Elephas maximus indicus: one gene and its partners. The protein of the gene in region 4 binds, or shares a complex with, the protein of the main gene of each other region. Links are inferred from orthologs where the notes say so. Each region holds a gene or a part of one and is shown on either strand. Other genes may lie near its edges. The genes, in order: TFDP1, E2F1, CCNA2 and RB1.

Region 1 (7,940 bases), on a different chromosome or scaffold from region 4:
TTTCCCTAGAGCCAGTACTCTGAATTCGGACTTCTAGCCTCCTAAGCCGTGAGAAAAATAAGTTTCTGTTTGTTAAAGCCACACACTTGTGGTTATTTCTATTATAGCAGCACTAGATAACTAAGAAAGCAAGTAATCTCCAGACCTCCTGTGTGGAAGGTGGTCCTCAGTAGATGGGGCCCTTCTCTGCTGGGCATCAGAAAACGGGTCCAGATCCAGCAACTGCTGAGCCCCACCACACGCTCTGAATGGTGCATTCACAATCTCTTTTAATTATGGAATGGCTTTTAACAAAGCTATTCAAAATCATAAATTTTAAAGGCCCGAAAAGATTAAGTAAAATTGGTACCATTTAAACACCATAAGCATTTATCAACAGGCATCCAAGGTTACAAAAAACACAACGTAGAAAGAGCAAGTCACACATCTCCATGGAGGCTATTAGATTCTTTGATCTTTTTTCACTTTCATCCTGTTTCATGTGCTTTAGAAGCTTAAAAAAATAAACAGTACTATGGTTTATGTGTTGTCATTCCGAAATAAAGTGAGAAAACTGCAAAGAATTCAGTGCTTCGTAATTTCTCGCTATTAAAAGCTAAGGAAAGGTTTGTAACACGAAGCTAATACACTTACATCTTTTGCCATGTTACCAGATCCGTGAAGTCAATTTTATAAACGTTCACCCTCCAGAGAAGAAACAATGATTTTTCTGAAAAGAAGGGAAAAGAAAAAATGAGTAAGAATAAAGAAAGTTAATAATATGTCACATCTTAAGAGAAACGTTCCCCACCCCCCCCCACCACCACCCCAACTGGCCTTCCAGGTAACAAGAACCTTCCTTCCCAAATGTACACACTTACTCAAAAGTGGAACTGGCAAAAACAACTCCTATACTTAGGATTTTAAAATTCATTGCAGCAGGTGAAAATATATTTTAAATTGGCAAACAAGCCCATAAACAACCAAGACATAGGAACTCCATGACCTAAAATCATTGCTACAACACCCCAACTTTCTCCCCAAATCACCCAAAGATAATCCCCTTTACATATCTGCCTGTGCTACCTTTCTGTTTCTAAAGCATAATCCATGGCATAACTACACGAATGGTCCCATTCGGCTCATTCACATCTCTACGGGATCAATATACCACCCCCACAGTGACCCACCCAGGCACACACATACATGCACGACCCCACACATCCATCTAACAGGAGTATAACTCTCCCTTCTGTCCTAGCACAGACATACCGGCGCGCAGGGAAAGCCATCCCAAAAGAACTCTTAGAGGGACTTCCCCCACCCTGGTCAGTTTCCAGCTCGCTGACCCAAGCCAGAGGGTAGACTGGTAACTCTGACAGGTGGGCTTCCAGAGTCACCCCAAGCAGTCCCAGGGTCCAGGGAACTGCTCTCAGTCCCCCATCCCAACCCCCACGCCCCCAGCCCGTCCGGGTCCGGGCTTTCTCTGACCTGTCACTAGGCCTCAGGAGCCACCTCCACCGAGAGGAATCTCCCTTCCCCCGCCCGCCACCGGAACCGGCAGTCCTCGGCTCGGAGCTCCCTAAAGGACCAGGTCGGTGGAAGGGTCAGCCCCTCCCCGTTCCCTCCCGAAGGCGCTCGCTGCAGGCCGGAGCGGATCCGGCCGCCGGGGCCGGGAGCGCGGGCGGCGCGCTCGGGCCCGGGACGGAGCCGGCGGCAGCTGTGCAGCCCTGCCGCCCGCCACCGCCGGGTGCACCGCCCGGCAACAGGCGCCCACCGACCCCCTCCCCGTTGCCCCGCGCCCCCGGGTGGCCGAGGGGCGCGCGACGATGCTTATCCGGGGCCTGGAGGGCCTAGCTCCGGCCCTGCCGCCCCGCCTGCCCCCACCCGGGGACCCCCCTGCACCCGTCCCGAGCCCCCACCTCGCCCGCCCAGACAGCTAGCAGAGTCCCGCAAGAGCCCCACTGCCCGCCCTCCTCGGTCGGGCCCACTCCCGCCCAATCGCGTCCTGCTCCCCACCCGCGCCAACCCCCCATCCCACATCCTACAGCCGAGGTCAAGTCACCTGGAGAGCGCCTTCCTCCCCCGGCCGCCCACCCCCCCCACCCACCGAACGGCGGCGGCCAGCCCCGCAGCCCACCAACTGCAGCGGCTACAATGAGGCGCGGCGGCGGCGTGGGGGGTGCGGGGTGGGGGAAGGTTTACCGACTGCACATGTGCAGCGCACACAGAGCACACCAGGAAAGAGCCCCAAGGAGACACCGAGCAGTGCGCGCGGCGCCCACACGCAGGCGAGGCGGGGGCAGGGCCGAGGGGCCGGACCGCCGGGGACCAGTCCGCCCCGGGCTGCCCCCTCGCCGCCGTTGGCCCGCCCCCCGCGCCCCGTGGCCGGCCCCGACCCCGGCCCGCCCCAGAGCCGCCTCTCGGGCCAGGGGCCCGCGCACCGCCCGGTGCCCCCTCCCTCCAGGACCAGCTGCTCGCCCTGCCCTGGGCCCCATCCCCCAGCTCCATCCTCCCGCGGCGCCGGTGGCTCCGCGCCCTCCCCCATCTCCATCCTCCCGGGGTTCCCGCCCCAGGGCATCCTCTCCCCCTCCCGCAGCCCCGGCCGCCCTCGGCCCGCGCGCACCCGCCCGCCGCCTGCAGCGCCAGGGTGGCCGGCGCCCCGCACCTGGCTCGCCCGGTCCGCGCCCGCGCGCGGGGCTGGGGGCGGAGATGCTGGGCGCCGAGGCTCAGGGCCCCGCCGCCCCAGCCCCGCACTCACGCGAGGATGGCGGGGATGGGAAGGCCCGGCCGCGCTGGCCAGACAGCCCTGCGTCCCCACTCCGCTCCCGCTCCTCCGTGGCCCCCGGAGCGGCGGCACCGGGAAAAAAATTGAAACTTACACTTTGTACCGGGAGCGTCGAGCCGGCGTGACGTGCCGGCAGCGCGGTGACGTGCGGCCACGAGCGGCCCCATAGAGACTGGCCCAAAGTGTCAGTTTCACCCCCGCGCGCTCCGCCTCGGGGAGCGCGGCGCGCCTGCGCGCCGTTTTCGCGCCTTTGGCTCCCTCCCTCCCTCCTTGCCTCCTCCCGCCAGTTCTGCTCCGCCCCCGCCTGGCGCCGGGAGAGGGGCTCAGTGTGTGTGTGCGGAGGAGGGAGGGAGAGAGGGAGGCCCGCGGCGAGCGTGTGTGGCCGCTGGCGGGCAGGCGGGCGCGCGGCGCGGAAGCTGCTGCCTACCCCGGCGTGCGCTCCCGGCTGAGGACGGCACGTCTGGCCCAGCGAGGAGCCGGCAGACACCCGGCTCAGCCACCGCGCCTCTCCACGCCCACGCCCAACCTTCACCCAAATTCCAAGCAATTCCGTGCATCCTCGGTGCCAGCTGGGGAGGTATCCCGGAAGTGAGTTCAGGAGGGAAAACTGGGCAGCCCAGTTTGATCTGACTGCAGGAGCGGCCTCATCACTAGTTTGGCGTGCTGGACCCTTATTCCTGGAGATTTAATCACAACCTCGATCCCACCACTGCTAAAGCAGTGGGTGGATTCAACCACAGACGGCTGTAGAAACGCATCAGAGGGTTGACTGGCGGGCGCATCTAGAGTCTGGAGTCCAAAGTTCAGTGCTGGATTAGGCAGCAATGCCCAAGCCCTACCAGGCCCTCCCTCTCTGCCTCCTAGTGCGATGCATAATTAACGTTTGCAAAGTACTTTGAGGTGCACAGACCAAAGGCCCTCTGTATGTGCAACATATTATTATTACATTACTACTATTACATTACACCCGCACTTAGCATGGTTTCACAATTTAGCCACTTTTATGCTGATTACATCCACTTCTGCTTTTCTAGTAATGCACTGACCCCTTAAATCTCTTTTCACTTAAACTGTTAGCAATTTAATTAACATTGGATTCTCCTGGTGGTGCAGTGGTTAAGACCCAAGGCTTGGAAAAAAGGTCAGTAGTTTGAATCCACCAGTTGCTCCCTTGTAAAGGGGCAGTTCTACTCTGTCCTATAGGGTCGCTATGAGTCGAAATCGACTCGACGACAAGGGTGTTTTGTTTTTTTTTTTCTTCTTTGAAGACAAGCTAATAACGGAATCTTCATATTCTGCTTACAGATGAGCACACAATGAGTATTTAAAGAAACATTGAAGGAGAAGTTGAATAAAAGACTCTAAGAGGGAAAACCAAAAACCCATTGCCGTTGAGTCCATTCTGACTCACCATACTGGACAGATTAGAACTGCCCGATAGAGTTTTGAAGGCTGTAAATCTTCCCAGAAGCGGACTGCCACATCCCCCTCCGGTGGAGTGGAGCTGGTGGATTTTAACTGCCCACCTTTCAGTAGCAGCTGAGCCCTTTTAGCTACTGCACCACCTGGGGCCCTTACTAAGAGGGAAAGTCCTACAAATTACTATCTGGAGAAAGACCTTATTCTTTGCTGTTAAGATTCATACAACTCTTCACCCATTACCAGGTTCCCATGATTTCAGAACCGATATTCCTCCATTATATCCTACAAATAGTCATATTTTCCTAGCTCCATTTCTTGACTTTCACAAAAAAAATATTTTTTACTAAATTTGAATATTCCAGCTTAGTTAGCAGTGGTAAGTCCCCTTTCCCAACCTCTTGGACCCAAGTGTAGCTGTAGCCACCGCACCAGGAAACCTCCCCGGGAGACCTAGGGAGTTGGAATTAAGAAGGAAAAAATGAAACTCATAGTATGGGATCTGAAACCCCTTCCCTACAAATTCGTGATTCAGGTAATTCAACAATGTTTACAGAGGATGGTGGTGGTAGTTGCCATGGAGTCAATTCCAGCACGTGACGACCCCATGTGTGTCAGAGTAGAACTATGCTCCACAGGGTTTTCAAAACCGAAAAAAAAACCCAAATCCGCTGCCACTGAGTCAATTCTGACCCATAGAGACCCTATAGGACAGAGTAGAACTGCCCCATAGGGTTTCCAAAGAGCAGTTGCTGGATTCCAACTGCTAACCTCTTGGTTAGCAGCCGGGCTCTTAACCACTGTGCCACCAGGGCTCCCATAGGATTTTCACTGGGTTATTTTTTGGAACTGACTGTCAAGCCTTTCTTCCAAGATGCCTCTGGGTGAACTAGAACTTTCAACCTTTCTGTTAGAAGTCGAGCACAGTTAACCTTTTGTACCACCCAGGGATCCCACCTCTAATATTACTCGAATTGATTTCTGCACAAAAATCACTGTAGGGAAATATTCTGAACTTGCAGGGGGTACCTACTTGCTGAAAGCTCATTGGGGCTCTGGTTTGTTTGGGGAAAGGGCAAAAAGTTCTTTACCCCACAGAAAGCTCCTATTTCTGTGTTAACAAATGGTAACAGAACTCTAAAATTTTGCATTGAAAATCCAAATTTTTTTAGCCACTGCCTTGGCTTGAAAACTTTGGATCAAATTGCTGAAATGCAATCTTTTTATTAAAGCTCCCCCACCACCAAAAAAAAAAAAAAAGTTGCAGTTGAGTCAACTCCAACTCATGTCAACCCTGTGTGTGCTAGAGCAGAACTGTGCTCCGTAGGGTTTTCAAATGGCTGATTTTTCAGAAGTAGATCGCCAGGCCTTTCTTTCGAGGCATCTCTGGGTGGACTCGAACTTCCAACCTTTCAGTTAGCAGCAGAGCATGTTAACCAGGTGCACCACCCAGGTGCAATAAGCCCATAAAACCCTGGGTTTATCTACTCTAATAAGCCTGTAATGCCCTGTATTTATCTACTACTTCACATTGTTTAGTAAACTTAATTCTTTCTATGATGCCTTCATTCAGTATTGACTTGATGCATAACACAGTAGTTGGTGTTCAGCCCTATATTACTGGGGCCAGATATTGTTTTGTATGTATAAGATTTGTCATTATGAACCAGAATACTACATGGAAACAGTTCTGTTCTGTGTTTTGTTAAAAGAAAGTCATTTGGTTCTTTCCAGGTAAAATCCTCATCTCCCAAAATCTCACACTTTCGTGTCTGAGAGATCTCTACCCTGTTGAATCTTAGGACCTGATGCAAATCCTTCTCTCCTTCCCACACCATTAAACTGCCCTTTAAAGAGAAAGAACATGTTCCAATCCTTTGAAATGTTTTAATTCTAAATTTGCTTGCTAAATACAAAATTTATCTTTGGTTTCCATATTAAATCATGTTGGTCTTTTCTTCAGCCGTTTCCTCAGTTTTTCATCCTTCTTGGATCACCAGAGCAATAGTGATACTGAGGGAAGACAGGGAAGGGGGCAGGAGTTCATGGAGCTTATGAGGAAGGACAGGTGACATTTTCTCATTCTTTGGTAAAATATAAATAAAAGCATCTGTGGTTGTTTAGATGCCTCATAAAATATGATGAATCAGTGTGTTTGCTGAACTTCAAGGTAAATCCCCTAGCCCTTCTCCCCAACCAGATCATCACTTCTAAGCACCACCCCGTCACCTAACATATGAAGACATTTTTATTTTTCTCGCAATCTTTGCTACCTCATTTCCCCTTTTTAAAATTCCCAGTAAAATCCAAAGAACTCCTTCTTGAAAGTTTTAGTCTATCAGTCCTTGACCCTATCACGTGATTATGCTCTTAATAATTCTTGTGTCTTAAAGACTTTTACAGCGATTGACAGCCTGAAGCCACAGTCCTTGGAAAATTGTCACGGACAAATTCTCCAGGATCATAGCATCTAACATATACAAATTTGATTTATCCAAATTTATCTTACCAGTTTTATCTACAACCTAGACGCTTTCCATTCGCTTTGCATCTGAACTTTCCTCTGGCTTTTGCAATACATGAAAGTCCTTTAATTCCTTTGGCATTTAATTCCACAGCTCTTCTAAAGCATTCCTTCTTCGTAACTTGACATTGCTCTGACTAGGATGATATCAAGATTAGTTTCTTCTATGGAGTTCTACAGTTTAAGGTTTAAAGATCCATGTTCTCTTTACATCATTTCCTTCCTCGATAGAACTCATTTACCATCATCAGCCAACAGTGAACCCAGCACCAGGAGCTTTCAGCATAATTTTAAGAAATTTGACTTTATGTGCAATTTAATAACTTTGACCATTTGTCTACTACCTGTCCACTTATCTTACAGATTCATAGGAGCTCAGACAAACGGGATCTTAGAGTTCCCCTGGTACAATGAAGCTGAGCTCAAGGGAAGTCAAGTTACCTTGGATAAGTCATCTTAGCTTCGGGGATGCTTGATTTCCTCTAGCTAAGAAAAAACTAGGTAAAAGCGTAGTTCTTTAACAAAAAGACAAACGACCATTTCATAAGCTTCACCTTTCCTGCCTTCCTCATTTGGCAAGCATATTTTAGCTCCTAATACGTGCCAGACACTACCTTGGGTGCTGATTTTATACAGATCAATAAGTTACAGGATTGCTAGAGGCAAACAGGAGAGACAGATCCACATACAATTAAATGTTATAGAACAAGACAAGCTTATATTCACAACTGGAAAAAAAGCTATGGAAGCACAGAATCCAGAACATTTCTCCCTTCACGTGGTCAGGGAAGGCTTCACAAAAGAGGTAATATTTGAAATGGGCTATGACTCTGTGTGTGTGCATGTTTAGAAAAGAACACATCTTGAAAAAAGCTCATATCAGCTTATGTCCCATTGGCCAGAACTTAGTCCATATTCACACCTGGCAGTCAGTGATGCTTGAAATACAGGCATTATTCTGGGCAGCCAGATACTACCAAAGCTTTGAAGGTCTAGAAAAGAGAAAGGTGAAGAACAGATATTGGGAAACACTTAGCAGCTTCTTCTAATTGATGAAAAGATATTCACGTCTTAGGTAAATAAACCACATGGCGGCAGAGAGAGCATGCTGGAGTAAAGACATGATCTCAGACGAGGGCATCAGTGAGAAGATAGAGCAATCAAGAGGTTTGGTGCAAACGACCGACACTAACTCTGGCCAACATAAACTGAAAGGTATCCACAGACTCA
Region 2 (7,884 bases), on a different chromosome or scaffold from region 4:
GAATCCTCTCAGACATGGGCAAGCACAAACATCGTCATAGCATCATATATTTATATAATCCTTTGTGAATTAAAAAACTACCAAACTGTTTTCCTCTGGTTCAGTTTCGACTATTATACACCACTGCATCGCCACTTCTGCATGGGTGACTGAGGGATGTTGGCCTTATCTGTACAGTGTGAATGATATGACGCTTGAGCGAGGAAACAAAGGGAAAAAAGTGAAATTTTAAAGTTTTAGGAAACAAAAGCTCTCATAACTACATAAAAAGCAAGAACAGGCTTAAGGAGAAAAAAAAAAATTACTTTTAGTGAATAGGAGTGGGATCCTGCCCCCTTCAACTTTCTATTCTCCTATGTTTTCTACAATAAGCATATATTTGTAATGGAAAAAAAAAAAAAAGGCACAACAGGGTGGGGGTGGATAAGAAGGGCCGGGGGAATGGCTGAATTGTGCAGAGCCTTGTATGCAGTTGGTACTCAATAAATGCTCACTGGCGCAAAAGCTGAGCCTGTAGCTTGATTCAGGGACTGCCCCAAACAAATGTGCAAAGGGTAGGTGGGAACCTGTGCCCAGGGCTACCCACAGGTGTAAGAGTTGGGGATGTTGGAGGGCAACAGCTGGGCCTGTTTGCAGATTTGGCTCCGGGATGGTGCCAGCCCCGCCCCAGCACAAAAATGCCCACTGGGCCATAAGCACTGTGGGGCAGGGACTCTTTACCTGCTTCTGTGCCTAGCATCTCACGGATGCTCACTAACTCACCAGCTGTTGAATGAATGGAATGCTCAGGGCCCCTGAGGCTGCCCCTGATGGTTGTGGCAGGGTGCTTGTGCCTATGTGTGTATGTGTGTGTCATTTTTCCTCCTCCCAGTCCCTAACAGTTCCTCTGGGCCTGGAGCCCTCAGCCTCTGCTGTCTCTGTACCCCTGCACCTGCTAAGTGCTCGTCAGTCAGCTAAATGGAGACCACTTGCCCAAGCCTCAAGCTGGTACTCTGACAGACACGTCATTTCATTGGAGGGTAGGAGGCAAGCAAGGCTGATCCACCCCAGCCCACACGCACCCCTCCCACTCATTCACAGGCCCATAGGTCCCTATTACTTCCCCAGGCTTCATTCAACCTCTATTAGCATTTCCAAGGCATCCCAGCTTGAACTGCTGGGCTCATCATCCCACCACTCACTAGCTGATCCTGTCTGGGGAAGGCTGTCACATCTCTGTGCCTCAATTTCCCCATCTGTAAAAGGGGAAGGTTGTTGAGAGGGTTAAATGGATTAATTTGGGTAAAGGGCTTGGCACAGAGCCCTGCACACAAAACATTCTCAAAACAATGGTGGCTGCTATTGTTATTATTATTAGCATCTTGGTGATTCCGGAAGGAAGGCAGCACTGGGCATGGGGCCAAGGGGGCTGGGGGAGGCTTTTCCCGGGATGCCTCAGGGACCAGCTGCCACCCACGCCCCTAATGGCAGTTGGGCAGCTTCCACCTCCTTGTCCCAGACCCTGTCTCACCCCTCCTGCTTGCTCTGAGCCCCTCGCCAGACCCCAGCCTTCCTGGCCAGCCCCCGTCTGCCTGCACCCCACCTTCACCCACAGGCTGCGCCAGTCAAACTGGTCTACACGCCCTGCCCTGCAGCACATAGGTTCAAGCTCCAGGCCTCCACTCCCTTCTCCCACTGTAATTCAGACACCCTCTCTGGGCCCCCAGTCTGAACTGATCCTTCCACCTCTTGTTGCTCAGAGAGGCCTTTATCAGATTATCTCCCTGAGAGGTTTTCTCTCCCCTGGCACTGGGGGTCTCCCCCCAGCTCCCAGAGGCCCAGCCCACTCAGTTCTTCCACAGGGGCCTGCCTGATTAATGAGGTTCTATGGCAACCAGGGCCTGAGAGGGTGGAGGGTGGCAGATGGAAGGACAGGCAGAGGGAGGGGATCAGCAGCTGGCCTAGGCGTCTTGCCCCACCCCTGCAGAGAAGGCCTCCCAGCCAGGCGGCCTGTCCCCAGGGGCCTGGAGGGCCAGGCCTGCACCTGGCAGTGGAGCATGGAGGCAGGAAGGATGGTGTCCTCAATGGCGTCCCAACAGTCCAGCCCCAAGGACCACCTCCACCTCCATCCCCACCCCTACATAGCCACAGATTCTGGTCTGGAGCCAGCAGGCCTCGGTTCAAACTCCAGCCCCACCTATGACCAGAGGCAAGTCCCTTCCCCTCTCTGGGCCTCAGTTCCTTCTCCGTCAGATGGACACAGTGACAACACCGAGCTCACACCGTGGTTGTGAGTTTTGGCTGGCTTGAAGTCGGTCAAGGGCTCAGCCAAAGCGCTAGTTGAAACCACGTGGGCCATTATTATCACTGATTCTGACCCGGTGGCTGACCCGAGCGGCTATGGTGAGGAAGCGGAGGCCCAGAGCCTAAAGCAGCATACAAGGACTGGCCCGAGGTCACCCAGCAGCCCGGGGCGGGGCCCGGAGGCCCAACCCAGGCTCTGCACCGCCCAGCGCGGGCGCCTCAGTCCACCCCTCCCCCGGCCCCCGCTGCCTCCTGGCCAAACACTGCGCCCCGCCCGGGTCTGCGCGGGGGGTACAGGCAGGGCGCTTGGCCGGGTGTCCCTGGGGTCCGTACCGGCGGGCGGCCGAGCGAGGGGCGCGGGGCGCTGGGTGTGGGCCGGGGCGCCTGTGGCGTGGCGAAGAGCAGCAGGTCGGCATCGCGGGGGCCGGCGGCGGGAGCGGAGGGGCCGGCGGGGGCCGGCGGGGCGCTGGCGTCCTGCGCCGTGGAGATGATGACGATCTGCGAGGAGTCAAGCAGCCGCAGCGCGCCCGCCCCGAGCAGGGCCTCCAGCGCCGGCGCGCATGGGCCGCCCGCGGGGGCCCCGGCCACGGCCATGGCGTTCACGGCCCGCGCGGCCCGGGTGGCAGGCGGCGGCGGCGGCGCGGACCCATGGCGGCGGGCCGCGGCGAGGGCTCGATCCCGCTCCGGATCCCGCTCCGCCCCCGGCCGCCGCTGCCTGCAAAGTCCCGGCCACTTTTACGCGCCAAATCCTTTTTGCCGCGAAAGAGCCACGAGCCGCAGAACATCGCCACCATTGGCTACCTGGGCTGTGACGGAGGCGGTGACGGTGGCACCCATTGGCTGCTGTGCGCCGGACCGGCGGTGGGGGGCGGGACGAGGAGGCGGTGCGGTGCGGAACAGCCAATCGCAGTACGGGGCGCGCGCAGGCTTTGTCGGGGCGGTGCCAGGCTTGTTCACACTCCCCGCCCCCAGGCCAGACAGCCCCTGGTCGAGGCGTGGTGGCCCCGCCCCCACCCCGTCCCGACACACCCCATCCTGGTGACCCCACCATAATGAAGACATTTAGGGCAGAGTCTCCATTCTAAAGCCGTCACGTGCTGAACCACATCGTCCGCCTGCAGCCCCCACATGACCTCCAGACCCTCAGCCCAGATTTCCAGAAACTGTCTTCTGTTTTCTGAATCCTCAGGCCTACCTTCTAAGCCCCAGCTACATCTCCTCAACTTGCCCCACCTATGCCATTTACTCTCAAATCCTGCCCCTCCCCTGTCCCTTACCCAGCCAGACGCCCAGCAGAAGGGGGCTGCCAGGAAATGGGAAGGGATGTCTGGCCTAATATAGGTCTGGGGCTTTCCTGGGGCTTCTCCGGTGGCCTCGTCTTAGCTGGACAGCCCTGCAGTAGCCAACTCACAGCTTTTGCTTGGACTCAAAAAACCCAGTGCCGTCGGGTCGATTCCGACCCATAACGACAGGCTCAAACATTCATTTATTCAACAGATGTTTTGAGAGCCTGCTCTGTGTCCATCTTTAGTTCAGACTTTGACTCCGGGAGGAGGGGAACAGAGAGATAACAAGAGTTTACAATACAATATGGAGTTTCCAATACTAAAGTAATTCCACCGGTGTTACCTGCCATTGAATTGGGAAACTGCAGGGTCCTGTGCCAGCCCCATGTTCTATTGGGGATCAGACTGTTGTAATCCATAGGTTTTCATTGGCTGATTTTTGGAAGTAGATTCCTAGGCCTTTCTTCCTAGTCAGCCTTAGTCTGGAAGCTCTGCTGAAAACTGTTCAGTGTCATAGCAATACTCAAGCCTCCACTGACAGGAGGGTGGCTGCACACAAAGTGCATTGGCTGGGAATCCCATGTGGAAGGCAAAACTCCAACTTCTTAGACCTCAGCAAAGGATGGAAGTGGGAGTACTGAACATGAAACTGCGTTTAATCCTGAGACCCTGACCCATCTCCACCAACGGTTTCTCCTTGCTCAGATCAGCAGGTTTGACCAAGACCACCCTCTCCTCTGTGCCAGGTCTTGTGACAGTACTGAGGATAGAGATGTGAAAAACTTGATAATTGCTATGAACTTGCCTGCAGTCTGATGGGGGTCACCCACAAGAGAAAAAGTAGCTAGGAGCCCTGATGGTGCAGTGCTTAAGAGTTTGGCTGCTAACCAAAAGGTCAGCAGTTCGAATCCACCAGGAGCTCCTTGGAAACCCTGTGGGGCAGTTCTACTCTGTCCTGTAGGGTTGCTGTGACTTGGAATTGACTTGACAGCCAGGGTTCTCTTTTTGTTTGTTTTTAGGACACAAACAAGATCCCTCCACTTAGTCTAAAGTATCACTTCCTCCAGGGGGCCCTCCAGAGTTGAAGTTACTCACTTCCTGTATTGCCCTAGGCTGCCTCTGTTCCAGCACTGACCACACCACTCAGCTTCTCCATCTGCCTTCCCTACCACCCTGGGAGCTTCAACAGTGCCCCCTCCCCATAATGGCCTGGCCTAGAGCAGCTGCTGAGCTGAGGAGGGTTATGAAAGAAACAGGCTGATGTTGGAGACTGCCAGAATGCAACAAGTAGGTCCTGGTATTCCAAGAGTGGTCATTAGGCTTCAGAACCAGCTGGGGCTCTTGTTAGCTTTGGGCCCTACTGCAACCCAGCCATTTTAGAATCTCTAGGTGCCCATGAATCTATATTTTTAAACAAGCATCCACTCCCATGCCTTTCCAGGTAATTTTTATGCATGATGACATTGGAGAACAAATTGATGTAACTGTATAACTAAAATGTGTGAGGCGGCCTCAGATTATCCCCCTTTGAGAAATCTTCTGGGCCTCAGTGTCCTCGTCTGTAAAATGAGCACATAGACTTTGCCCCAGCTCTTCTGGGGTTGCTAAGAGAATGAAAAGCACAAAGGATCTGAAAGTGTTTTATAGATTGTGAGGTGCTTTGGGAAAACAGCAGAAGTGTCTTCCCTTCTCTCATGAACAATTTGTGAAATTACTTATCAAAAATCCTAGAATGTGTCAGAGCTGGAAGAGCCCACAGAGGTGGGACAACTGAGGCTTATTCAGGCGCAGGGTCCCATGAAGCCAGCCAGGGATAGAATCTGGCCTACACTGGAGTCCCAGCCCTGGGGTCTGCCTGTTCCCCCTTTCTCCCCGGACAGAGAAGCTGAGGGTTAGGTCTCTTCTAAATAACCATCGCAGGTCCTGACAGGAGTTGAGAGAGCCAGGAACATTCCCGTTCCACATAGTTTCCTTTCCCCACATTTTCCCAAATGATCCCGGTTACAGTAATAATATCTGACTTTTGTAAAGTCCTCTCATACTCAATATTCATTCAACAAACAAACTGACTGAGCACCTGTCAAGTGCCAAGCACCTTGCTGGCTGATGGAAAGGGAAGGCATTGCTGGTTTTGCCCCATTTTACTAGGAGAAAACCAAGGTCCAGAGGGAATAGGCTTACCTAGTAGATGAAAACGCCATTTATACAGGCTTGGTGAGGCCAAGGCCACGTTTTTCCCAAAGGCCTGCCCTCCTCCCAAAGGTCCTGCCCCTGTCCAGGTGTTCATCAACCACCCAGGTAGAAGTAGGTGCCTTCCTTCCCACTGCAGTCTCTCTTGTCCTGCTGCAGCAGCCCAGGGCTGGGAACAAAAGGCCAAGCAAAGGCCAGATTTCTCAGTGTGAAATCAAAGAGATAAGGCTTTCTATATTTATTAACACCCGCTTCAAAGCAGAAAAGTCCTGACAGATGGGGCCCCTTGGCTCAGAGTCTGGTGGATCCCGATAAGGCTGTTCCCAATGTCAGCAGTTCTCCTCAGGCTACTAACCTTCCAAGAAATCCATGATTACTGAGAAGACACTTCCATTATGATCTCCTTTCAACTCAATAATCCCATAAGTGAAGCTTGTTTATCCACATTGTGCAGAAGGAAGGTGGCTCAGAGAGGGGCAATCACAGTTCACAGTCACAGCAGAACTGAGATGGGAACCTAGCCTGTTTTACTGGAAAACCCAACATCTGCCCTTCATACTCTGCTACCCTCTGAAAATACTTGGAGAGCCAGGCTCAGGGCTGGCAAGATTATAATGTGTGCCAGTGAAGAGGCATTACGGTGGACAGTGTCTTTGTTAGGTCCCTGGGTGATGTGAACTGTTTGCACTCGACTACTAACCTAAAAGTTGGTGTTTCGAACCCACTCAGTAGTACTATGGGAGAAAGGCCTGGTGATCTGCTTCTATAAAGACCCTGTGGAGCAGTTCTACTCTGTAACACACGGGGTTGCCATGAGTGAGAATCGCCTTGAAGGCAACATGGTTTGGTGGTTTAGTTAGTGGATGCTTACCCCCATCACTGCGTCTACCAATCCTTCAATCTAGAGGAGTCCAAAGGAGTGGATGCTTTGGACTCATAATTCTCCACCTGGAGACAACTTTCCCTTGGTTCTTTCCTACACACAAGAGGCAGGATGGTATGGAGGTGAATGCAAGGGCTTCTAAATCAGGCGGATGTCAGTGGGAATCTTGGTCTGTGTGACCTTTTGACAAGAGAATTCTGAGCCTTGCTCATTCAACCCACAGATACTTATTGTATACCCACTCTGTGTCAGACTGTCTTAGTTATCTAGTGCTGCTATAACAGAAATAAATACCACAAGTGGATGGCTGTAACAAACAGAAATTTATTCTCTCACAGTCTAGGAAGCTAGAAGTCTGAATTCAGGGTGTCAGCTTCAGGGGTAGGTTTTCTCTGTCGGTTCTGGGGGAAGGTCCTTATCATCAATCTTCCCCTGGTCTAGCAGCCTCTCACAGCATGGGCCCTAGGTCCAAAGGACACGCTCCACTCCCGGCACTTCTTTCTTGGTGGCATGAGGCCCCTATCCTCTCTGCTCCCTATCCTCTCTCCTCGCTTCTTTTACATCTCGGAAGAGACTGACTCAAGATAAAACCTAATCCTATAGATTGTGTGGAAACCCTGGTGGTGTAGTGGTTAAGTGCTGCAGCTGCTAACCAAAAGGCTGGCAGTTCAAATCCACCAGGCACTCCCTGGAAACTCTATGGGGGCAGTTCTACTGACCCCTGTAGGGTTGCTATGAGTTGGAATCGAGGAGCAATGTTTTTCTTTTTTGGTAGATTGCATCCTGCCTCATTAACATAACTGCCTCTAATCCTGTCTCATTAACATCATAGAGGTTAGGATTTACAAGGCATAGGAAAATTACATCAGATGACAAAATGGTGGACAATCATACAATACTGGGAATCATGGCCTAGCCAAGTTGACAAACATTTTGCGGGGGAAACAATTCAACCCATAAGACAGACATTGTGCTAGGTCCTGGGAGATAGCTGTAAGCAAAATAGACTTATCTCTGACACCTGGAGCTCACAGTCCAGGGAAAGTCAAAATTATTTCTATGTACCTCCATAATATGCGCCATTAAGAAGTTTGACAAGTGACATAATTTTGAGCCATTTATTCCACGTACATGACATGCCCCCCAAAACATACACTTTTAGCTCAAAAAAAAGAAAAAAAAACTCCAAACATGAATATTCCATGATTACAAGGAGTGCATAACTGGGAGAAATCGTTCTAT
Region 3 (7,178 bases), on a different chromosome or scaffold from region 4:
GTGTAGTATGTCAGAATGCCACACTGTTAAAAATCACATTTTTTCCCTACGCAGAGAGGTAGCCATCACTTTTATTCCAAAAAACCAAAATGGACTTACGAGGCTAGGAGCATAGCAGCAGTGCCCACAAGCTGAAGTTTTCCTCTCAATACGGACATCGATGAAAGGAACCTATCAATGTAGTTCACAGCCAAATACAGGGTCTCATTCTGTAGTTTATATTCTTCTCCTACTTCAACTAACCAGTCCACAAGGATAGCCCTCATACTGTTAGTGATGTCTGGTTGTTTCTTCATATAACCCACTTTAGGCTTACATTTAACCTGTTGAGAAAAGTTAGTATACTGTTAAATATACCTTACAGTAGTTCACTAGCAGTTAAAACACTAATTAACCTCTCCATTTCATTTAGCCACATGCAGTGATTAACAGTATACGACTGCACTCAAGAGAGCTTTTACCTCCATCTCCCTAAGGTATGTGTGAATGTCTTCATGATAGTCTGGTACTTCGTTAACATTCACTGGTTTTTCATCTTCTAATACAACTGATATGTCCATAGTATGTGGTGACTCTGGAGGAATTCAAAAGATATGATTAATTGTTTAATCTTCTATTTAATAGCTAAAAGTGACTGCCCTTGTCAAGAATGCTATGTTACCAAAACATTTCATCCAAGTAAAAGGGCTTCTCATGACAAAAGTACATGGATTTGCCAAAAGAGATTGCTAACCTGAATCTGATATATTCAAAGTACGATAAGGTAATAACTAGAAGCAAGACTAAATGGCGTTCATTAACAAGTGTGTTAATAAGGAAATTAGGATTGTTATGGGTACTTCAAACAGGTGGATTAACATGACAATCAACAAATGATTGATTTTTTTTGTAATTCAAATTATCTTTTGAGGCAAAGAATATCATCCATTACTCTTTTCAACTTCAAGGATCATTCTGAGGTAAGAAATTGTTACAAATCTTAAATAAAAATACACAGATTATTTCCAAAGGACTTCCCACTCCCTTCCCTAATCAATAGAACCACAACTAAAATGAGATTATATTCAATGACCTATCCAGTAACTCAATAACCCTGCAGAAAAGAAACACTACAAACTGTAGACAGAGCTGTCTGATGAAGCTACTCCATTTTGTATGTGGGTAAGTGCAAACAGGCATGGTACAACTACTGACACACAAGAAGACAATGTGCCTTTCTGGTATCTGATGATTACTCAGACTGGTGTTACAGCAACACAAAATTTCAGAGCTGGAAAAGATGTCAGACAACACAGTATTTAAGACTGCACTCTCACACAGCACTCTCTCAAGTGGTACGTATGAATCGAGTCACTGCCCTGGTGGCGTAGTAGTTAAGTACTACAGCTGCTAACCAAGAGGTAGGCAGTTTGAATCCACCATGCCTTCCTTGGAAGCTCCATGGGAGGCAATCCACTCCTTGGAAACTCTATGGGACAGTTCTTCTCTGTCCTATAGGGTCGCTAAGAGTCAGAAATCGACTTGACGGCAGTGGGTTTGGTTTTTTTTTTTTTTGGTTTCTTATGACTGCAACTGAAATCTATTCTCCCAACCAAGCAAACATTTCCAGGGTCAGACTATGTGACTGAAATGTAATTAAACTGATTGGTAGCGTACTGGAAGGAACACCTGATTAGGACTTGGGTCCTTTTGTAGGTCACTAGGTCATGTATTTGGTGTGATATTTGGGACAAGTCACACCATTTCTAAGCCTGTTACATTAAAGCTAACTATGTAGTAATGATCAGGTAAGATAATGTTTTAAAATATAAAATCTAGTCTATTTAATAATTATACTACCTTGATTCATACAGATCTCTTTAAAACTTACCGAAACTACCATCCATTGGATAATCGAGAGACCCCAGCGGTTTTCTTGTTCCAGGTAAAGTAACAGCTGAGTTAAAAGCCAGGGCATCTTCACACGCCGATTTTTTAGATTCAGCTGGTCTCTTCTGAGTCTTTTCTTCTTCTTCATCCACATGAATGGTGAATGCAGGCTGTTTACTGTTTGCCTTCCATGGAGCAACAGTGACACGCTCATCATTTACAGGAATATCCTTAAGAGGTGCAACCTAGAAAGAAAGAACTGTCTTTGAGCCTGTTAAATGGAGCTTTGCCTTTTTCCCCTTAAGGATCTCAGCTTGTGCTTTCACTCTCAAATATCTACCAGGAAAATTAAACTAGGGAAAAGTCCAGGCAAGAATAGTTTGAGTAGTCAAAGAGAGAAGGGATGTAAAAATTTGTCACAGGCAGAGTTGACACTAGGGTGGAGCAAACAGCAAATCCGGCTAAAATGGCGGGATTTACCAAAAGTATTTTCTTGTACCCTTTTCTAAAGTAGAAGCATTCTCTTAACCAGATGGGGAGGGGAAGGAGAGACCTGGTTGCTTCGCCCCGGAGCAGAGTAATGCCTGGGGTTAAAAGACAAGCGAAAGCATGAGCTGGGCAATGACGACATTCGCGTTGTAGGGCTTGGTCTGACCCCAAAATCTACAAAGATGACCCCAATAGATAGGAGATAAGTAGCACATGCAGTGTTGGCGGGGGTCATATGCTAAAATGAATGAGAGAATCTACCACCGTGGCATCCCACAAAGCGGAAAATCTGTGACCAAGGGGACTCCAGACTCGCGCCCTCCTAAAATACCCAAAGAATGCTTACTCGTCACCCTCTTCTGCCTGCTAAGCCCATGCTCGACCCTCGCCTGGCCCACCCTCCGACAGATACCTCGCGTGTCCTTCCTTACCCGTCGCGTCTTGGGTCTCTGCTGCGGCGCTGGACCCCGTGGGTTCCCCGCCTTGAGTACCGCCAGCCCGGCTCGAGTCCGGGGCTGCTGGGCGGGCTCCGCTTTTTCGGGGTCGATGTTCTCCTGGTCCTCTCGGAGGGCCGTCTGCTGTAGTGTTAGCAGCGCCGAGCCCGCCTCGTGGGCCGCAGGCCCTGGTGCAGAGTTGCCCAACATCACTGCTCCCCGGGGCAGGCGGCGGGATCAGCCTCCGGCGCCAAGCAGCGTGCACTCCGCCCCGCTGACCCGCGCGCAGACTCAGCCGAGGAATGCTGTAGCTGCCGCCGCTCGCCGCAGTCGGGGCCAGCCTGCCCACCTGCCCGCTCACCTGGCAGGGGCTGTGCGGGGCGGAGGAGGCTGCGAAAGGAGCAGGCAGGCACTGTCGGGCGTGGAGTACCAAGGACCTAGAACGCCCCGAGATAAAGCGAACAGCCCGCCGGAGCGGCGGCTGTTCATGCAGTTCAAGTATCCCGCGACTATTGAAATGGACCAATGAGAGCCGCAGAGGCCCGTGACGTCACTAGGGCGACAAAGTCGCAGTCAGCGCAGGCGGCAGTGATGGCAACTGAGCAGGGGTGGAGCGGAGAAACGTCGAACCGCCGCGGGAGGAAAAACGCCTGCGCGGTGAAGGCGGGAGCGGGGGAGACCTGAGTTTCTGATGACTTTAAACCGCACCACTGGGAGGTCTCTGTGCGCAAGGCTAAAGGCTGTCTATATGCATTCTAAAATTAACTGAGTTAAACTGTAGCAATTACTAGGGGGCCGTCCCAGCCTTTAGCCCTGGGACCTCCAGTTAACGTGGCTGACTTGTTTCCCGAGGTTCAAGATTTGACTTGGCCACTTACTGGCCAGGTAATCTTGGTCAAATTATTAAATGTCTCCAGTCTCAGTTTTCTTATGTGTTTATTGGAAGTAATACCTACACGGCATAGGACTGTCGTTAGGATTAAATGAAATACTGTGCATAAATTATGTAACACTGTGCACATAGTAATACTCAAGTGGCAGGATATAATGTCATGTTAGGACGCGGTGTTTATTCACAGTAGGCAGAACTGTGTCTTATGCTTTTTATTTTTTCCAAGAAAATACAATTTACTGTGCCGTCTTGAACTACTGATACATATAACAAGTAATAATGTACTACAAGAAATTCGACTGGACAGTCATTAATGCTTATACACTTTTCCCCAACCAGTAGCCTTTTATATAGAAGCAGCCAACAAAAAAACAATGAAATTCTAGTGACCTGGATGTTCCATTTAGAAATGAAAACTGTTTAATAAAAACAATGGCCTTACTAAAACAAAACTGTCTTAGCTATAATATGTGCCTTTAACAAATTCTCATATTTAATATACAAGACTTCCACATAACTAATAAATATAATGGTATGTAATTCAGAAGCATTGTTTTCTGACAAATTCATGAGTCTACACTTCTTGAAAACAGAAAAATAGCCTTTTTACCATTATAATCTGTCCTTTTAAAGCAGACTGTTAAATAAAATAAAACCAAACTCATTGCCATCAATTCCAACTCATATTGACAATATTCCCCTGAAAATGAATAAATTTACATTAAGATTAATGAACAAAAAAACTGTGTTCTTAAAATATTTTCGTTTCATATAGGATAAAAAGGAAACTAGTGATACTAGTGCAGGAAAATCCAAGAAGCTATCACTATTTTTGCACTCCTCCTGTGTTGCAACTTGTATAGCTTGACTGCTCACAGCACTTGTAGTTAAGATCTCTCTCATCTGTGTAAGCTGCTCATTTCCCTGACCGAAATTTACAGCACTGAGACAACTAAGGCATTTTACAAGCTGCAGCATGGGTCACAAAATGTTACCGAACAAGACAGAAATCACTATAAAGCAATCTCAGCTCCTACAAAAAATAACTGGTAGTTTATTTCCGCTTGTTGACAACATACATTGTAATTGGGACACAAAGCAGGTGCCAGAAACTGGGTTCTGGTCCCAGCTTTACAAATTAATAGCATGTCCTCTTAACCTCATGTCACTTAACCTCACCAACAATTGGTTTTCTTACAAGCTTTGACAAACTTACAGGACTGATGCGAAGATGATATGAGGTAAGGTACGCAAATGCATTCTGAAAACTGTAAAGCAGTTTACACATAAATGTATGTGTGTGGGTGTGGGTGGGTGTGGGTGGGTGGGTGGGTGGGTGGCTAGTAAGGAAACCCTGGTGGTGTAGTGGTTAAGAGCTATGGCTGCTAACCAAAAGGTTGGCAGTTCGAATCCACCAGGTGCTCCTTGGAAACGTTATGGGGCAGTTCTACTCTGTCCTATAGGGTCGCTATGAGTCGGAATGGACTTGACGGCAATGAAAGTGGTTTTTGGTTTTGGTAGCTTGTAAAACATTTGAATATATTTTGATTTTCCAAATATTTCTCTATTTAAAAATCAAAACATCTAATTACTAAAAATGCATTAAAATCCCTTGTACTTACTCCACTTTTTTTTTTTTTTTAATACTTGAGTTTCAGTGAAAGTTTATACAGCAAGTTAGGTTCCCATTTTGATAATTTCCGCACAAATTGTTCAGTGACATTAGTTACATTTATCATAACGCTAATATTCTTTGTGTTCTGTTTGTTCTATTTCCAGTACTCTAGTTTCCCTGGCCCCTTATCTTCCCGTCTTAGTTTTGTGTAATTGTTGACCTTTTAATCTCATTCTGATGGTTTTTAAGTAGAGCAGCAATCTTATGTAATATCCTTTGTGTGCCACTCTGCTATTTCACTAAAGGGTGATCTCGGGATAGGCTCTGTTCTAGGTTTAAAGAGTGTCTCAGGGTGATAATCTCAGGGAGTCCTCTGCTCTCCACTGTTCCAGTTTGTCTGGCTTTTTTTAAAATAAGAATTTGAGTTCTGCTCCACATTTTTCTCCCATTCTAGCTGGGACCATCTATTGTGACCCTGATCAAAACGGTCATCCACTTGTTTTAAATATAAAAATTCTCTTTATTTTTAAAAAGTTCTACCATCAAAGCAAATAGAAGCATTATTTAAAGTCATATCTGAAATATTTTTAGATGTCATCAAAAAGCATTTGAAATAAAAGTATATACATTTAGTTTATAATTCTATGTTAGTATTTTCCTTTTAAACAGACCACTTCTTTGGGACTTTACCTTGATTATATTTCAAGCAGCATCAAAGAAAGCAATCAATGCATTTTGGTCATAACTGTCCAGAATCTCCAGAAGAAGAGGTACTTTGGTTTTCACATTGGTGCCTTTGAATTTGAACTTATCTATGAAAAGATCAGTGATCATGCCTAGAAAGAACAACGTGAATTTACTGTCATCAATTAGTTCCTTTTAATGAAACAATTTAATGAAAGTAAGTGCTTGAGAATCCATTTCTAAGTACCTGTAATTTCATTATTTAATATACACAAACCTTTTTAGAAGGTTCGATGCTTATAAAAATATATGTATTTTGGGGGAATTTTAAGGCCAGTTTCAGGACATAAATTAGCTAATTAGCTAATAAACATCTTTAACAACTGGTTAAAAGATATTAATTTCAGACAATCAAATGCTATTTCTGAACTGATACTAGTATATATAACATCATGAAAGTGGTTTATTTTTCCCACTAAGAAGACCATTTTGAAATAGTGTAGGCAGATTCTGTTCTTAATAGCTTTATCTAAATTAAGACATTCCATTTCTGTGTTGACTATTCTTGGGATTTGACTAGAAGGCAAATAAATAGTTTTAGGGTTCAAAGGTCTGGGCAAATTATTTCACCTTTGAGTTTCCTCACATGTGAAATGGTAATAATTCGAGCTGTCAATTATATATCCAAAACCCTTGATGCCAGATGTGTTTCAGAATTTTTCATATTTTAGGAAGATAACAGAAGACATATACCATATATAACAAAATACCCCCAAAGTATTATGAGCAAATGGCAGCATCTGGTAACAAAACATGATATTTCTACACCAAAATATATGGGTGAATAATCACACTAAGTGTGTTATAGATTGAATCGTGTCTACCCAAAATACCTGTTGTCATCCTAACCCTTTATGCCCGGTGGATGTAATCCTGTTTGAAAATAGGGTTCCTTGTATGTTAATGAAACCACATCAATGTAGAGTGTATCCTAAACCTAATCACAGCTGAGTTTTAAAAAGAGTAGATTAGACACAGATGTGTGCACATGGTGGGGGGGGGCGGTGGTAGGAAGCCAGACAGACACCAGTGAGGGCCACCTATAAGCCAAGACCAAGGAAGGCTAGGGATTACCTATAAGGAAGGAATCCCTATGGCTGAGGTCTTGATTTGGACTTTTAGCCTCCAGAACTAA
Region 4 (7,962 bases):
CTACCTGTATTTACTATGACCCTGTAGAAAGTCCTTAAATGTCATGGTTTCACTGAATTTCCACATCAGCCTTACCATGTAAGGACCCTTATCATCCTTGTTTTACCGAAGAATAAACGAAATCAGAGAAGTTAAAGCATTCACCTGAGCTCACTGCCAGTACTAAGTGGTAAGCCAGGATATGAACCCAACAGTCTAACTCCATAATCCACGCTCTTGACCACTACTCTATACTGCCAGCTCCTTTTTCAAAACATAATTAACATCTGATAACCTCAACAATGAAGGTGGTATGCTGTTCCTAGTGACAGTTTCCCTTCCAGCCTCATCATTTAAAAACCCTTTGCCATCGAGTCGATTCCAACTCATAGCGACCCTATAGGACAGAGTAGAACTGCCCCATAGAGTTTCCAAGGAGCGCCTGGTGGATTCAAACTGCCAAACTTTTGGTTAGCAGCTGTAGCATTTAATCACTAGGCCACCAGGGTTTCCACCACATCATTTAGGCCAGAGATAAATGCAACAGAATGTGATCTCAACTCTCTGGGCAGAAATGGTTCTTGCTGGGAATGCAGTTAGAGCTGAGCCCTGAATCCATCCCTAAGCAGGTTACTCAGCCTCAGGTTACTCAGCCTCAGATTGCCAGGCTGTGGTCCTACCCTTGCTAAATTGTTAATCTGTAGAGTCTGATTGAAGATGCTAAGGAATCCATTGTGAGTACGGATAATCAAAGGCAGACTGTATTTTGCATGGCTTTGAAGTACAAGGGTTTGAGTTCCCAAAGAATTTTTTATCATTCCATCACTTAAAGGTATATAAAATAATGTGTTGGGGAAAAAAGAATGAAAGAAACAAATTTCTTCTTTTCCCAGGTGATGGTCAGAACTTCAATATTTCTAATTATCACAAAATAATCAAGAATGCTTTCAAAGTTATATGGATAACACTGAATTTTTTAAAGTAAATACTACTGCTCTTGCCAAAGAATAGTTTTCAGGTATTGGGCACATTAGAGTTTAATCAAAAACTAAAGTGTGATGTCTTCTTCCAAAACATCCCCCAGGCCTGTTTTTTGTTTTGTTTTTTACTAAGCTGTTAAGTCGATTTCCTGACTCATGGCAACTGCATGTGTGTCTGAGTAGACCTGTGCTCCATAGCATTTTCATCAGCTAATTTTTTGCAAGTAAATCATCCGATTAGCAGCCAAGCCATTAACCGTTTGCACCACCCAAGGATTTTTTTTTAAACTAGTAGGTATGATTTTCAGTTAACCCATATGACAGTTCATTCAAATATATGAATTTTTAATATCCTTCCACAGGTCATTTCAATCTTTTACAATTTGGCCTGAACTCTGTTAGTGGCTGGGAAGTGGAAAGATATGTACAATTCAGTGAGGGTAAAACAGAACTTGGTGATGGACCAGAATGGAAGAAGGAATGGTGAGGGAAGAAAGCAGTCCCATTCCCCTACGATGGATCTGTATACAAAGAGCCTGAAAGAGAACCAGTGCTGACAATAAGGAATAAGGACAAATATGCACTTTTCAGTCTTAGCTAGTTAACCGTAAAGTATCACAATCCAGAAAAATAAAATGTTGCAATCCAACAAATAGCTCTTTGTCATATTCTACCGCATCCACACGGCTTGCTTAAATTTAGATTTCACTTAGGGGGGGAAAAAAAAAGTTCGATGTTAGCACAAGAGCATCGCCAATTTTTTACCAAAAACAAACAGAACAAAACAAAGAAACAAGCGTCACCAAGATCCCTGATTGTAAAGTCAAAAAACAAAATGGAAGAAATAATGGCACATGCTGAGGCAGACTAACCTGCAAGGAGTTTTATCCAAAAGGAAAAAAAAGAAGTTTAGAAACTTTTAGGCACTTACACTAAATTGCCTCACAAAACTTGCCCAGTTCCTCTAAAGCATTCTGTTTCGCCAGTTACTACAGCTGGCTTTGAACCCCAAGGCCTCAAAGCACCCTGTGGACAACCGGCACCCAGGACCCTGCGCTAAGGTCCGATGGCGTCTCCTGCAGCGGCGTCCAAGGCGTTTCTGGTCGGCCTCTCGCAGCATGGGGCTTTGGATGCAGTGCACACCCAGAAGCGAACACTTGGAACTCTTGCGTCGCAGAAGACCAAACAGAAAGCCAAAGAGCACGGGAGTACTACCAATTTAACAAGAACAAAACTCGCTTCCTCTTCAACACACGCGCGTCAGTCATTTTTTGCATTTGATGGGAGCTCGAAATGACCCGCCGCCTCCAGCCTCCGATCTAGCACCTGTCACTTCGCTCAGCCAACCGAGCCCCACCCGCCCAACACCTGTCAACCTGGAGCCGCGACCCCTCCTGGCTGTCCTCCCCTCGCTCCGGATCCCGGAGCCCTGTCACCCTCCTCCAGACCCTCCGCGGTGGTGGGGGGCAAGGAGGGACCCTCTTTCGCCGGGACCGGGATCCGGGGCAAAGACGCGCCCCCGCCTAGATGCCGCGGCGCCGGTCCCGAAGCCCCCTCGGCTCCCTTCCTGCGTTCGCTCTGCGGGGGCGGCTCTGCTCACTCACCTGGCCAGAGGTAGGTCCTCGGAGCCACTGTCGTGCTCCGGATCCTCCTGGAGAGGGGGCGGTGGCGGCGGCGCCGGGGGTTCCACAGAGGCGGCGGCAGCCGCAGCAGCAGCCGCAGCCGCAGCCGCAGCGGCAGCGGCAGCGGCAGCGGCGGCAGCGGCCGCTCTTCGGGGAGTTTTGGGCGGCATGACGCCCTCACAGGGTAGGAGCCAGCGAGCTGTGGAGGAGGGCAGGGCCGGGGGACGCGCGCACACGTCGGGGCACGCCCCGTCCTCTCTCGACTCCCGTTACAAAAATAATTTGAAGGTCCCCTGAGAAAAACCGGACAAGCCCTCCCCGCCCGGCAACCGAGCGCCGCGTCCAACCGCGGGAAAACGTCACTTCCGCCCGCGGCGTCACGTCCGCGAGGCTCCCGGGCCAGCCGGCGTCTGGCGGGCACCGGGGCGCCTGGCAGCGCGCGGGCGGGGGCGCAGGGACGAGCGGGGCTGGCCGGGAGACCAGGCCTGGCGGAGGCGCCCTCCCTGAGGTAGCCGCCGCTGCTGGGACCTGTTTCTACCTGTAGCTCTCCTTCCAGGCTGAGGTGCCCGTAATAGGGCAACAAAAAGAGTCTGTGGGGCAAAATTGGGCCCCATCTCTGTCATCTCTGTCTTTGGGTCTGATCAGGGACTGTCACTCAGGTCCTGTAAGTTCTATCAGGCAAGCGCACCCTACACTGTCACGCCTCCTCTCTCCATGGGCGGTACCCTCCCTCTTCTGAGACCTCGCCCACCCAATCCGTTAAGCCAGTCTACCAAAACAAAAACACCGCCGATTATCCCTTTAGCAAACGTTTCTGGAACACCTAATCGGTGCTCCAGTTTACCAAGCACTGGGGGAAACAAAATGTAGGACAATTATTGGCCTTTTGGGGATCACTGGTTAGGGTAGGGAGGGGGCTGTGGGTAATGAACAAGTAAACAGTTTATAAACTGTTTATAAACGTTAAAAATAAGATTTTGTATCAATTCAAAAGAATAACAATATTTGATTGGTCTATGATTTAACAAACAATTTTCAAATTGGGAGAACATTCTCTTCCTGCAAGAAGAAACTCCCAGAGAATGGAGATTTCACAGAGACTTAAAAATTTTTGTTTGATAAATACAAGTTTCCACTGTGATGAAATAATGATTACTGAGTTAACTTACATATTTATAGTTGAGAGCTCTTGAAATTAAAATCAAGGAAGCACACAGTCTTTTTCATTAAATCACAAGGTGATTGATTTCTTATTGACTGCTGTCTTCTAGCTGGGGGGATAAACAAGTTTAACCATGCTGCAAAGTTGAAGTTGGGGTGAAAGAACAAGCCAGTGAAGCTGCAGGCAAGATCAGTTTTGGGTCAAGTATTTTTATACTTGCGGGTGTGTGTGTGGGTAAGAGAAATTTCTTAAAGTAAAATGTCTATTTTTAATTAATTTTTTTGAGTCTTAATGGTGGTGTAAAGTCAGGAGGAACCATTGAAATGTGTAAAAGAGATCTTCAGAGGAGAAGTAGCAGTTGAATAGAAGTTTGCCAGCTTGATCTAAAATTTAAGGAAGACTTGCTGGATCCCAGGAAATGTGCTGGCCACTTTACATAATTATCTCATTTAATCTTCAGAAACAACCTTTTAAAATGGATAGTATTATTCACTTTTCAGATGAGGCTCAGAGGACTTAATTAATTTTCCCAATATCACAGATCTGATGAGCAGAGGACTTGAACCTAGGTAATTTTGCTATGACTTATCTGTTACATTATACTGGTGAAGAAAACACCAAAAAGAGAGAAATAGCATGTGTACAGGCACAAAATCAACAGAAGAAAAGCTTTCTGGAGGTATCGCCGCCAAACATTGGCTTAGAAGCTGTATCTTTTCTGTCTCCTGGTATTGATTTATTATAATTGATTTTCTAGTTTTAGCACATGTTTTTCTTCCTTTGGCAGATACTTTTGATTGCCCATCTCAGAACTTCCCAACTGAAGTACTTTGAATAAAGTATAGTTGTGCTCTGATGTACATTCCCTCATTCTTGGAAAGCTGGGCAGCATGTGAGGCAGCAGGAGCCTTCAGGTAAGTCATAGATGCAAGTCTCGTGAGTTTATCCCAGTGAGTAGTGCAATGGATTATCATTTTCTGTGTAGACCATGACATGTGCCACAATGTAAAAAAGGTTAGCAAGCATTGGCCTACCCAACACACAGTCCCCCCGGATCCTACCTTGGGGGCCAAGACTTTGTCAGGAGGTAGGGCCCAGGCCACTGAGAGTGAATACAATTAAAATGGTAGTCCCATTCATCTTGCCCACAACTAGTTTAGGCAGCAGATCAGGATACAGTTTGACCTTTTAAAGATGAAAGGTGATAATATTCTGGAAGGCTGATAAAATGGGATACAGAGATGACAGCTCTTCTACTCCTTAGCTGTTGTCATAAGGATATGACACTTGTAGTTGCTGTAGCCATTGTGACCTATGCAGCAGACCGGAGGATAAGGCAAAAATGCTGGGGACAGGGCAGTAGGAATATCAAAAGAAAATAATCTGGGTCCTTGGTGACATAACTTAGCTTCTGATTTGAACACCCTGGAGCTGAATTGCATGATTGTTTGCAGCAGAAAGCATCATGACTGATAATATTTCTGCTGTGAATTACTTCAGGATAGAGACCAAATCTCAGGCATTTTTGTAGCCTTAGTACTGAGCACAGTATTGGACACACAGTAGATACTTATTTGTTAAAAATGAGAGTGGAGAGCATAGGTAGGAGAACTGAAGGAAGTTCTGGGAACTGAAGTAAACTCTCCCCACATATGTAGACTTGCTCTATTTAAACCCAGTTTACATCAACATCTGGATTTACCACAATTATAATAAGTCAAAGAGAGGTTTCTCCATTTACAAAAGGATGTGTATCTTTGCCTTGGACTCCTTTTACCATGTTTCTGAGTAGCTTTAAGATATGATTTCCTCACACACAACTCAGAAGTACTTGAGTAAATAAAATCATTACACAGCTTTCTGTTGTACTACAAAGAAGTGTTAGAGGTTCTATAGATTATTAAAAGAAGTTTTCTCAAGTGACGGAGTAGCAGGGGCAGGGGCCTGGATCCATGGTTTCTGGGGACATCTTGGTCAATTGGCATAACAAAATTTATTAAGAAAATGTTCTGCATCCCACTTCGGTGAGTGGCATCTTAAAAGCTTGCTAGCAGCCATCTAAGATGCATCATTTGGTCCCAACCCACCTGGAGCAAAGGAGAATGAAGAACGCCAAAGGTACAAGGAAAATGTTAGCCCAAGGGACAAAAGGGCCACATAAACCAGAGATTTTATCAGCCTTAGATCAGAAGAATTAGATGGTGCCTGGTTGCCATCAGTGACTGCCCTGACAGGGAACACAATGGAGAGTCCCTGACGGAGCAGGAGAAAAGGAGATGTAGAACTCAGATTCACATAAAAAGACCAGACTTAATGGTCTGACTGAGACTAGAGGAACCCCCGAAGCCATGGCCCCTGGACTTCTCTGTTAACCCTGAACTAAAACCATTCTTGAAGCCAACTCTTCAGACAAAAATTAGACCGGACTATAAAACATAAAATAATACTCAAAGAGTTTTACTTCTTAGTTCAAGTAGATACATGGGACTAAATGGGCAGCTCCTGTTGGAAGGCAGGATGAGAAGGCAGAAAGGGATAGGAACTGGTTGAATGGACAGCAACCCCATAGGACAGAGTAGAACTGCCCCATAGGGTTTCCAAGGAGCACCTGGTGGATTCGTACTGTCAACCTTTTGATTTGCAACTGTAGCTCTTAACCACTGTGCTACCAGGGCTCCTTACTGCACAAGATGATGATAAATACAGAAATTAAGAGTGCTTAGAAATGTTTATGACAATTTGACATGTCAGCAACATCCAAGAACATGATCATTGGACATCTGTTGCTAAGCATATAGCTAAGCAAGAGTATAGTCCAGTTCAGGTGTTCTCCAATTTATGTGGTGAGTTGCAGGTGGTAGGGCTGTGTCCTTGTCATGCATAGTAGGACCACATTTACGATGAGTAAAATTTTAAGGTTAGCTTGTCAATTGTAATCCAAAGTGTTAAAAATCCATGAAGATGTAAATATTTATTCATTTTTATAAGTTGTTTTTATAGTCATTTTAATTTTTAATCAAGCCTCTTTTTTTTATTTATATATAGCTAAATTAGGGAAGTAAAATTTGTGTCATTTATTTTTAACCCTAAATCGTAGATGATGAAACAAGCCTCATTGGCCTGTTTTGTCAAGAAAAGACAGATGTCACTAGTGGATTAATACTACCAGTAGTAAACCAAATAATGATCAGAGAAGTCATTCCAAAGAATTAGAGCTAAGAGTTTATATTAATTTTACTCAGAAATATAATCCCCTGTCTGTTCAGTCTGTAGCCATAACTTTTGGTTAAGTACTAAAACCATGGACTGATTAATGAAGCAATGAATCCATCAAACTTAAGGGACATTTACATACAAAATATAAAGAAAATATTATCATAAATATGATAAAACATTTTGATTTTGATTCTCCATCAAAGTAATCACCACACACAGGAAATTCATGGATCCAGAATTTAAATGTAACTGTAACTTTACAGGGCAAATTTTTGGAACTCACTACTGATGAAGGACTGGAGATGAATTTTGAAAATAAAGCATCTCTTGTTTCATTTTGGATAGAAATTAAAAATGAATGTCCTGAACTTGCTGAAATTGCCTTAAAATCTCTTATTCCACTCCCTTCAACATGCCTTTGAGAGACTGGCTTCTCTACTTGAGTGTTATCAGAATAAAACATAGAAGCAGTTTAGATATACTGCTAGATATATCTAAACCTAGATTAGGTAATTTAACAAGCAAGAAGCACACTCATTTGTCATGTTAAAAACTTTAAATATTGACGTACAAACACTGTATAGCAGTTAGTATGGGAAATTGCTACTTCTCTCCCAACTTCTTGTTTAGAAAGGTCCCTGCATGGCACAGATAGTTTCCAGTTGGCCAGTAACCAAAACGTTGGCATTTTGAACCCACCTGGAGCACCACCACAGAAGAAACAGGCCTGGTAATCTGCTTCCTTAAAGATTGCAGCCAAGAAAACCCTATGAAGCAGTTCTACTCTGTAACACATGGGGTCTCCTAAGTCACAAATCAACAACAAAAACAAATTCTTGTTTCTTTGTTATGGCTGTGGAATGACAAAAAATGAGGGGTGTAATAGCGATTCTCTATGGTAATCACCTAGATGCACACTTCCGGTGAACAATGTGCAGTTTTTATATTTTTTCCTTGTATCCTGTGTTACAGTTCTTCCAATTATTTGTTGAAAATTAATTTT

Evidence for each region.
Region 1: the proteins of RB1 (region 4) and TFDP1 are in contact, whole or in part, in a crystal structure (PDB 2AZE), measured with the Homo sapiens proteins. The link is inferred for Elephas maximus indicus from reciprocal best matches to the Homo sapiens genes RB1 and TFDP1. Residues at the interface, in NP_000312.2 of Homo sapiens: Ile835, Ser838, Phe839, Thr841, Ser842, Phe845, Gln846, Ile848, Asn849, Val852, Cys853, Asn854, Ser855, Val858, Leu859, Lys860, Arg861; in NP_009042.1 of Homo sapiens: Gln222, Glu225, Leu226, Gln229, Ile262, Val271, Asp273, Asp288, Asn289, Thr290, Phe291, Glu292, Ile293, His294, Asp295, Glu298, Arg302.
Region 2: the proteins of RB1 (region 4) and E2F1 are in contact, whole or in part, in a crystal structure (PDB 2AZE), measured with the Homo sapiens proteins. The link is inferred for Elephas maximus indicus from reciprocal best matches to the Homo sapiens genes RB1 and E2F1. Residues at the interface, in NP_000312.2 of Homo sapiens: Ser829, Arg830, Ile831, Leu832, Val833, Ser834, Ile835, Phe845, Ile848, Met851, Val852, Asn854, Ser855, Arg857, Val858, Leu859; in NP_005216.1 of Homo sapiens: Ala267, Pro268, Pro269, Glu270, Thr271, Gln272, Leu273, Gln274, Ala275, Val276, Asp277, Ser279, Glu280, Asn281, Phe282.
Region 3: the proteins of RB1 (region 4) and CCNA2 are in contact, whole or in part, in a crystal structure (PDB 1H25), measured with the Homo sapiens proteins. The link is inferred for Elephas maximus indicus from reciprocal best matches to the Homo sapiens genes RB1 and CCNA2. Residues at the interface, in NP_000312.2 of Homo sapiens: Pro869, Lys870, Pro871, Leu872, Lys873, Lys874, Leu875, Phe877, Asp878; in NP_001228.2 of Homo sapiens: Met210, Ile213, Leu214, Trp217, Glu220, Glu224, Arg250, Leu253, Gln254, Tyr280, Ile281, Thr282, Asp283, Thr285.

Annotation. Positions count from the first base shown.
Region 1 is NC_064835.1:74,595,810-74,603,749, reverse strand, and holds the start of TFDP1 (transcription factor Dp-1), read right to left. Parts: upstream 3,002-7,940; 5' UTR 2,862-3,001; intron 710-2,861; 5' UTR 646-709; coding exon 634-645; intron 1-633. UniProt on the Homo sapiens protein: Can stimulate E2F-dependent transcription.
Region 2 is NC_064843.1:35,859,176-35,867,059, reverse strand, and holds the start of E2F1 (transcription factor E2F1), read right to left. Parts: upstream 3,009-7,884; 5' UTR 2,878-3,008; coding exon 2,617-2,877; intron 1-2,616. UniProt on the Homo sapiens protein: Transcription activator that binds DNA cooperatively with DP proteins through the E2 recognition site, 5'-TTTC[CG]CGC-3' found in the promoter region of a number of genes whose products are involved in cell cycle regulation or in DNA replication.
Region 3 is NC_064823.1:25,383,545-25,390,722, reverse strand, and holds the start of CCNA2 (cyclin-A2), read right to left. Parts: upstream 3,003-7,178; coding exon 2,790-3,002; intron 2,115-2,789; coding exon 1,871-2,114; intron 575-1,870; coding exon 462-574; intron 324-461; coding exon 100-323; intron 1-99. Other genes in the region: BBS7 (Bardet-Biedl syndrome 7 protein), read right to left, coding at 6,002-6,135. UniProt on the Homo sapiens protein: Cyclin which controls both the G1/S and the G2/M transition phases of the cell cycle. Functions through the formation of specific serine/threonine protein kinase holoenzyme complexes with the cyclin-dependent protein kinases CDK1 or CDK2.
Region 4 is NC_064832.1:30,645,448-30,653,409, forward strand, and holds the start of RB1 (retinoblastoma-associated protein), read right to left. Parts: upstream 3,006-7,962; 5' UTR 2,752-3,005; coding exon 2,564-2,751; intron 1-2,563. UniProt on the Homo sapiens protein: Tumor suppressor that is a key regulator of the G1/S transition of the cell cycle. The hypophosphorylated form binds transcription regulators of the E2F family, preventing transcription of E2F-responsive genes.